Caenorhabditis elegans: one gene and its partner. The gene in region 1 interacts genetically with each later gene. Each region holds a gene or a part of one and is shown in the gene's direction. Other genes may lie near its edges.

Region 1 (6,837 bases):
TTATCACCATCTTGTCTGAACCTCTTCTTCTTTTCCACTATTTCCAATTCCGCGTCCATTTTTCATTTCCGTTATCAATCACAAATCACTCGTTTGCTCCATTTTCTTCTGGTCACAAGCTCCCAGTTGTGTTGCTCTCGTCAGTTCTTTTTCATCGAAACGACGGGCCTATTTGTTCATTTGATTTGATTCGGGAATTGAATTTGACACCCATCTCCGGCACGAGACGTGTATGTTGGCTCTTCACATTGCGAAACTCGGCCTCCCAGTTCGGATGTTGGAAAAGTTTATTCAAAAGTTCAAATAATATGTTTATGTGCTCCTCGAGTTCGTCGATATTAAATTTCTGGCATCTTTTTTTGAATTTCGAAAACAATTAAATTATTTATATAATTTTCAGGCTCGATTCTGCGATTTTTAGCAAAAAATACGGTACCTCTCGACGCGCCAAATTTTTGATAAATGTAGAAAGCTGTGCGCCTTGACAGAGTACTGTAACTTTAAACTTTGCTGCGGAATTTCCATCGATTTTTTATAGTTTTCCGATAGAAAATATTGATTTATTAAATAACTTGATTAAAACAATGAAAATCCATGAATTTACCTATATAAAATCAAAACAATCCGCAGCAATGCGAGTTACAGTACTCCTTGAAGGCGCAAACAAAACTTTATCGTGTCGAGACCTGGTACCGTATTTTTGGTGCAATATTTTGCGTCCTTTTGCTTAAGAATATCGTTGATTTCAGACAATTTGTTTTAAATGTTTTCTTTGCTTTCTTCAACTTAAATATTTAAAAACTAAAAACTAATTTCCGAAATGCCAAAAAATTCTACCAGTTAGGTCATTGCTCTTATCTCTTCTACAGATCGATCGTCCCCGTTTTTCTCAATTCGATTCTCATCTATATTTTCCTCAATTCTCTCCAAACAATAACAAGAATATTTTCGAAATGAATCACTGTTTGAAAATTCTTGAATCCTTCCTCCCTCATCCGTTTGCATGTTCATTGCCCATTTGACACTCGAGCAGCAGGTGGCCTGTGTCTCTTCACTCTTTTTCGATCTTTTCATTAGGTCAGTGCTCATCATCATCATTAATTACTCTCGAATTCCGAGCCGTAATTATTCTTTACTGTGTGTGTGTGCTCCGTTCTCTCGGAAGTTGCGTAACGAGAGAGTATTACAAAAAAGAGATTAGAGGCATGTTGTACAGTAATCTAAAGATTAGATTCACTTAGATACCGAAATCTACTATTCTTTGTCTTTCTTTGCCACGTTTCTCACTATAATTTCACGATTCATTGATTCGATTTAGCACTTGGAACCAATGTCAACATTACACCATTTCACTTTTTTTGAAAATTCAATGTTTTCTCATCAATTGAAGGTCAATTTATGGACCGAGTCTTCTATTTTGAATTCCAATAAAACCTTCCAAAAAATGTTTATAGAAAATGTTTCGAAGAGAAATCCCTAAATTTAGCCAAAATTTTTAATGTGTCATCTTTGCCAACTGCCGGAAAGTATTTGTGTTGGTTTTCTGATATTTCGAGAAAAAAAAAGATTTTTCGTAAAATATCTAAAATTGTTGGCCATTTTCCTCCGTTTAGAAGAATTTTTTGAAAATGTTTATCCACATCAACAACTCATTAAAAATTTCACTTTTTGTTAATTTTCTAAACATTTTTTTTCGATTTTTTCTGAAAAAGATTTTAGCTATTTACTTAAGTTCGGTTTTTTTTCCAAATTTTGCCAAAAATCATTTTTCTAGAATTTTGTTCTCTCCATTTCACAAACTATTAACTAAATAATGTTGAACTTCTTCTATACATATAACCAAAAAAACTATTTCTTTAATAATTTTTTATATTTTCAGACGAATCCTGCTATGAACTAACACTTGTCAATCTGAAATCTCTTCAAAACTATCAATTACAATGCATCGACATATTCTGATATTATTTTTATTCGGATGCTTATCAGCTGATCAACGACTCTCATCAACTTCAATTTCATCGATGAATGGATTCTCAACAACTCGAAAATGTGAACATATTACAATTCCAATGTGCAAAAATCTGGATTACAATCAAACAGTATTTCCAAATCTTCTCGGACATACAACACAATCTGAAGCTGGTCCAGCAATTGCGCAATTCAATCCATTAATTAAAGTTAAATGCTCAGAAGATATTCGTCTCTTTCTTTGTACTGTCTATGCACCTGTCTGTACAGTACTCGAAAAACCAATTCAACCATGTCGAGAATTGTGTTTATCTGCAAAAAATGGATGCGAGTCATTAATGAAAAAGTTTGGATTTCAATGGCCAGATCAATTGGATTGTAACAAATTCCCAGTAACTGATTTGTGTGTTGGCAAGAATTCCAGCGAGTCGAGCAACTCTAAAAAGTGGGTTTTCTGCATAATTTTATGAATAAGAATTTATAATTGATATATATTTACAACAAAAATTTCAAAAGTACCCAAAACATGAATTAAAGTTTAAATTTACGGGAACCGTTCTAGAATCCTTTTTTTAAATACAGCGAGAAATTAAATTGTAAATTCAGTTAAAATCATCGGTTTTGCATTTAAAGAAAAATAATAATAAATTCAGAATGGCCTGCAAAGACCGAACCTCGTAAGAGTTTTCAAAAAAAAAAAGCTCTCTGAAAATTAAATTTACGGCCGCTGTGATACTGACAAGTTTGGCTGAATTTAAGTATTATTCCGAATTTTTGAGCCCCATAAAAACTCCTACTCCAAAGCGTCAAATAGTTTTTTATCAAAGTTTTTGAATTTAGAAATTTTCCGAAAAAAATGTACATCGAGATTTCTAAATTCTTTGTTTTATCGAACAATAAAACAAGTTTCCGTAGATCGAAATATAAAATATTTCAAGTTACAGAAGTAGTAATGACGTCACATTCGGTGTTTCAACAATTGCCAACGAAGTTGTCCTTTCTCCAAAAAAATGCCCTCATCATATGCATACAACAAGCGGATCTCATTTTTCATTGCCTCTTCTCAGTGGACGCCTTCCTGAATGTTCATTAACATGTGAAGCTGACAATCAAGTACCAATGATGTTTGATGGACGTGTTCGACGAATTCTTCGAATCTGGACAGCAGCATGGTCTGTGGCATGTTTCGTGTGCTCTTTATTCACTCTTGTCACATTTCTTGTTGATTTATCACGATTCGCGTATCCAGTTCGACCGATTTTGTATCTCGCGTTCTGTTATCTAGCAATTTCTACGGTTTATATGATAGGTGAGTTGAATTTTCTGTTTTTTTTAAATCAGATTTTTTAGAAACTAAAAATGTATTTCTACAGGCGTAGTCGGTGAAGATGGATTCGCTTGTGGAACGTATGGATCTACTCCAACAACACTTGTTACGCAAGGAGGAGAAAATGTTGGATGTAGTGCTCTTGCTGTTGTTCATTACTTTTTCTTCATGTCAAGTTGTGCGTGGTGAGTTTTTTCGTTAATTTTTGTATTTTAACGAAAAAAGTACCGTTTTTTGTACCACAAATAGAAAACTGGTTTTGAAAATGTGCATTCGAAAAAAAATCGGCATGTTTTTCTTTTGTTCAAACACATTTTTCAACAAAAAAACGACAACTGAAACATTTTTTTTTTAAAGAACTTTTTGAATATTTTGATAAAAATTTTAATTTTTATAATTTCGAGTGTAATTTTTCAGAAAAAAATTACATTTATGATTTTCGACAATTTTCAGTAACAAAAATCTAAAAAATATTTTTTTTAAACCAAATTTTAAATGAAAAAAACCCCGTTTCCGGAAAATCGGAAAATCAAAAAAAAAATTCAATTTTTATCAAATTTTGTTCATGAAAAAAATGTATTTTTTCTTCAAACAAAAAAAAAACAAAAATCGAAAATTTTTGTTTTCATTGAAAAATCGAAAATCGACACCCAAATTTTTAATCTTGATTTAAACAGCTATCAGCCTTTTTAAAATGATATTTTATATACTAAGTATTCTTTCAGGTGGCTTGTACTGTGTCTAGCCTGGTTCCTGGCGGCAAATCTGAAATGGGGAGCTGAATCAATTGCTGCTCTGTCACCATACTTCCACGCAATGTGCTGGGGAGTTCCAGCAGTTCTCTCGGTTACTGTACTAGTGACAAATTCTGTCGATGGAGATGTATTTACTGGAATCTGTTCAGTTGGAAATTTGAATCCCTCTGCTCTCGTCTATTTCTTTTTCACTCCGATCGTTGTATCGTTGGGTTAGTTTTTTTGTGAATATTATGGTGGGGGAAGACCGAAATTGAATTCGTTTCGTTGTGTGTTCCATCGTTATTTATCTTCGTTTTCTTCTCAGAAATGTTCTATTTGCAGCACTCGGAGCAGTTTTACTCGTTTGTGGAATTTGGTCAATGATCCGTATTCGAAGTTATATTAAACTTCAACACGCCGATGTTGAGAGGAATATCAGTAAATTGGAGAAATTAATGTTGAGGTTCGATATTTCAAATTTTTGAAAATCTTCAAAAGTACCTGAGCTTTTTTAATCAGAAAAGAAATACTTTCGATTTTTGGAAAACGAAAAATTGGAAAAACATGTACAGAAAAAGACGAGCAAACTAGGTTTACTGATGTAGATATATTGATTTCAGTTTGGAAAGTTGATAAATTATTCTAAAACCCGAGAATTCCCTGGAAATCATTTTTTATTTAAAATTCCAAAATTTCAGAAAAAAAAAACGAAAAAATTGGATTTCCTAAGAACCGAACAAAATAAGAAAAACTTAAGAATCGCTTTTCTGATATTCGTTTCATATTATCATACAAATATTATATTTTCAGAATCGGTGCCTTCGCCATAATGTACTCTCTACCAACTGCAATGAATGCTGCAATTATGTGGTATCAGGCAGTAAATATGCCTGCCTGGCTTGAAGGATGGCTTCATCATCGATGTGTTCGACTTCAAGATCGAGAATTATTCGGTTTCACGTATCCAGTTGATGATTGTCCGATGGATCCGAAAGTTGCAGCTCCGGAGATTATTGTTTTTCTTTTAAAGTTAGTTTGAAACTGTGAATCAGTTAAATTTCAATCTGTATAATCTAAATTTGATTTTCTGATTTTTGCGCCAAAAATGCGACATCCGGTTTCGACAAGACGAATGTTTGTTAAATGCAAAAATGTATACGCCTTTAAAGAATACTGTAGTTTCAAACTCTTGTTGCTGCAGAATTTTCATCGCTTCTTGATAAAAAATATTCTTATTTAAATATTAAGCAATTCAAACACAAAAAGCCTAACATAAGAAAAACTATTCATGAAAAATCGATGTAAATTCCGCAGCAACGCGACTTCGAAGTTACAGTACTCTTTAAAGGCGCATATTCGACAAAATTGGATCGTGCCGAGACTGCATAATTTCGCGTCTAGTTAATATGAATTATTTATCTTGATTCGAAACCCCTAAATGTTCTTATTTTCAGATATGTGTCTCAATTGGTTGTTGGTATAACCTGTGCCATTTGGGTTGTCTCTTCAAAAACTCTTTCAAGTTATCACAAGGCTTACCTGGCACTCTCTTCGAGGTCACCTACTGTACCTGCTCATGTTGATCAGGTTAATATGAGGTGATAGTCTCTTCTTGTCATTTTATCCTATTTATATGTATTCTCATTCCTTTTCTCACTTTTTTCCCAACCAACTCAAATGTTTCTTTTTCTTCATTCTTTGTAACTTTTCTGACTTATTCTTATGCTCTCTCTTGCTCATCGGACGGCGCCCATCGGTCCCCTTCCTCTCACAGAATCATTCCCCAGAGCATGATCCATCTCTGTGTCTACACTCTCCTCGTCTACTCGTTGTCTCTCAATGCTTCCTGATTTGAGTTGCGACGAGCACATTTCTAAGAACCGGCTCCCAAAGATGCGCTCTTACATAGCAAAAGAGAGACAACGAGTGGAAAAGATGGTGAAAAATGATATTTTTGAGTGGAATTACATTGAAATCTGACAAAAAGGGCAGAAAGAAGCTTGAGAAAAGTCAAAAAAGAACCCCCTTCAATTCAGGTTACTGTAGATCAGTTCTCTCGCTGCCATTTTTCATGTATCTCGTTTATTCATGTTCTTAAGTTCTGTTGTCACCAGCTCCAGCACAAGGTTCACACACTTTTTTTCACACTTTGAGCACTCCAATCAGGGTAAAACCACTTTCATCCCAGTCTTTGTCTCGAATTTAGAGTTATGAATTTATTACTCATTATTTATGCGGTTGCTTATTTTTCTTCATCCTCAATTTCTTTTTCATCGTATATTCATATATAAATTATACATTATTATTATTGTTTAATTTGTGACACGGCGATTGAAAGAACCTAAAATAAGGATTGCAAAGAAAAACGGATGGTTATGAACTAATAATAAAAGTCATGGAAATCCTTGAGAATTGATTTTGAAAGACAACAAGCGAAACAGACTCCGACCAATTGAATTGCTGCCAAAACTGCACAAATTCCGCCGACCATTGCTCCATTCTTGAGCACCCATTCTGCAATTAAAAAAACAATCAAATTTCCGATAAGCCCAATCATGCTCTATTGAGAAAGTGCAACAGAGCACACTTTGATCTTCTTGGAAAAAAAAGACTAACGTTCGACACTGTGAATGCATCCGGGCTCAAAGAGTGGAGCATTCTCTCGAGCACATCCCTCGATTTCTTCAATGCAACATGAATCAGGAATTGTTGTGAATGTGAGCCAATCGGATGAATTTGTTACTCCACAACATTCAAACAACTAAAATTGAAATTAATTTGAATTTTAAATGCTGTAGTTCTACT
Region 2 (2,738 bases), on another chromosome or scaffold:
TTTTATTTGGGGGCACTTAATACAACTGAAAATTAGTCTATCATGAGAAATGTGTCATCATCATTTTGGTTTGGAAAACAAAATCGCGTTTTACTAATGGTAATAAGTACCAAAATTTGAAAAAATAGCAATTTAATTTATCTGTTCTCATTTATTATACTATTTCCCTATATGGTTTCCCGTTTAATAGAACTAATAGTAAATGAACACTTCTCCAGCTTCCGGGTTTCCACTTCCCCCATTTTTGTGATGCCGAGTGTGGTCCATCCGTTGCCCCTATTTCCGTTACCCCTGGGGATTGTCGGGATTTTTTTAATGGGTTAAACCTAGATTTTCTGAAATCAGCATACATGAATTACCCGTTTTCAACAAAATTAGGCAACTTTTTATTTTTGCCCAAATTTTTTTCAGCCATCTAACAAATTTAGATGTTTGACGGATTATTATCTAGTGCAAGTGCACTAGATTTTTTATTGAAAGTGACTGTGCGAGGAATTAAATGTTTAAAAATTAATTCATTTATTATTTTTAATTTTTTCTCGAAATTGCTAAACCTCTGGTCGATGTGTATAATTGGAGAACATATAATAATGCTCTGACAAAGAAAATATGGAAGTAAGACAAAAAAGCGTGGGAAATTCAATATTGTAAAAAAAAAGTTGAAAATTAGACAAAAATCGGGGAGAGATGTCAAGTGATATGAAATACAAATTAATGGGCGTGGCCAGGGAGGGGGCGGGGTTATTTAAAATTTAATTATCAAAAAAAATCTATATGGAGAAGCAGTCTTTACTGATCAGTGAATTTTTATACACGTGGCATCAAATTTGCGGGGGCGGGGAATATTATGCAGAAAAATTTAAAAAAATTACAAAGTCTTCACAGTGTGGGTTGTTTTCTGACGAAATACCAGTTTTCCAAAACAAAAATTCCAGAAATTCAAATTTTCAGTAGATTTTGAGCGAAGAGTCTTCATGGATTTCAAGAATTCCGTGAACGTCAACTACCTAGGATTTTACCAGGGATATATCCACGGATTTTTTTCTCAAAAAATCGTGGTGACTCAAAAAAAACGAATGAAAAACGCTGCTAAATGAGATTTCAACTATTTTGAGAAGTGAGGATTCGTATAAGAGAAGTTAAGGAATGCTTCAGGATCGATTGAAGCCAGTAGGTTCTTGTCGTGCACAGGTGTCAACGCCGCCTTCTCGTTCGTGAAGTCGTCGTCGAAGTTCGAGGCGTCCGAGTTGGATTTCTAAAGAAAAATATTTAAAAAGTGCAAAATAAGGAGGTTTTAGGGAACCTGGAACTTTATGAGTTGCAAAAAACACTTGTTAAAATATTTTAGCCCCATACGGGTTCGAACCCAGGCGCTGAGATTACCAGACAAGCCTATATACCAGGGGTGTGCGGATAATAGCCGAATTAGCCGAATTAGCCGATCGGCTAATTCGGCTAAAGTACTCGCAATGCAAATATTTGAAGTTTTCTACAATTCTTGATCCTCGCTGGAAGGTATTACTGAAAAATGACGTTGATACAATACCATGTGAAATCATACAACTTTTTCAGGATATCTACTCGGATCAGGATGAAGTGTTGGAGTTTATTAGAGCCGTCGAAAAGGAAGACGATGAGCCATACAGCAACGTAGATTCTGAATATGATGACTTTGGTGATTCATCAGAAGTAACCGAACCTGTTGCGAAAATTCAGAAAACGGACTTTGAGCTTTACATTCAGGTAAATAAAATTTGGAAAAAATTGAATTTAATGGATTGATTTGCAGGAGAAGATCAAGTCACGTGGAAAGCATATAGCGTTAACTGATCAAAGTTTAACAGTGAAAATGGAGGTCACCCGATATCTTTCTACTGCAGTAGAATCAATTTTTCCCAGAGATTACTGGTTGAATCCTTTGAGTAAATCTTCATACCCTCGTCTTTCCCAGTTTGCTCGTCGCTTCGTCATTTGCCCAACAGGTTCCAGCGAAGTCGAAAGACTATTTTCAACGGCGGGAACTATTCTGACTAAATATCGAAAAACGTTGACATCAGAAAACTTCAAAATGCTTTTGACTTTGAACAAAAACATTCGTTTAATGAATCCGGATATGGAAGTCAAACTTCCTTCGATGATTAAATCAATTAATAGTCTTTTTTGTTACAAACTATCTTTCTTCGAAAATATTTCCTTCTCCTGATCTTTTACTGTTCTTTGTTGTTTCTTATTGTTTCTTAGTGTTTCTTGTAGTTGTTTCTATCTTATAAAACTGTTATTTTAAAATTGTCTACTGTATCGGAAAAGAAAAATTATTTTTAAAAAAGAAGGGACGATCCGTTCTTCAAGTGCTATGCACTGCAGATATGGAAGTCGGGTACACTGCCTTGTCTTGCTCCCAAAATTAGCTAGAACAGAAAAATTAACTACTTTTCTTGTAAATTAGCCGAATTAGCCGAATTAGCCGAAAATTAGCCGATTCGACCGATAAATTTTAGCCGAGTTATCCGTTAGCCGAAATTTTTGAAATTAGCCGTTAGCCGATTGTTAAAAAATCGGCGTTAGCCGATTTATCCGTTAGCCGAAAAAATCGGTTATCCGCACACCCCTGTTATATACTATACCTACTGCGCCACTTGCGCAATTTTTCAAATTTCGATAACAAACCGGCATTGACGTAATTTTTAGTACTGAATTTGTAGAACAAATTTTTCAAATGTAGCGATAGATTTTTAGGA

Evidence for each region. A genetic interaction does not mean that the proteins touch.
Region 2: of mom-5 (region 1) and B0545.4, changing one enhances a phenotype caused by changing the other (phenotypic enhancement), as found in Caenorhabditis elegans (one large-scale study listed by BioGRID).

Annotation. Positions count from the first base shown.
Region 1 is NC_003279.8:9,963,701-9,970,537, forward strand, and holds mom-5 (Protein mom-5), read left to right. Parts: upstream 1-1,879; 5' UTR 1,880-1,940; coding exon 1,941-2,413; intron 2,414-2,906; coding exon 2,907-3,277; intron 3,278-3,341; coding exon 3,342-3,480; intron 3,481-4,020; coding exon 4,021-4,262; intron 4,263-4,374; coding exon 4,375-4,495; intron 4,496-4,842; coding exon 4,843-5,061; intron 5,062-5,486; coding exon 5,487-5,634; 3' UTR 5,635-6,337; downstream 6,338-6,837. Other genes in the region: tsp-7 (Tetraspanin), read right to left, coding at 6,413-6,546, 6,649-6,793. UniProt on the Caenorhabditis elegans protein: Receptor for Wnt proteins.
Region 2 is NC_003282.8:108,519-111,256, reverse strand, and holds B0545.4 (HAT C-terminal dimerization domain-containing protein), read left to right. Parts: upstream 1-1,849; coding exon 1,850-2,203; downstream 2,204-2,738. Other genes in the region: tpa-1 (Protein kinase C-like 1), read right to left, coding at 1,106-1,255.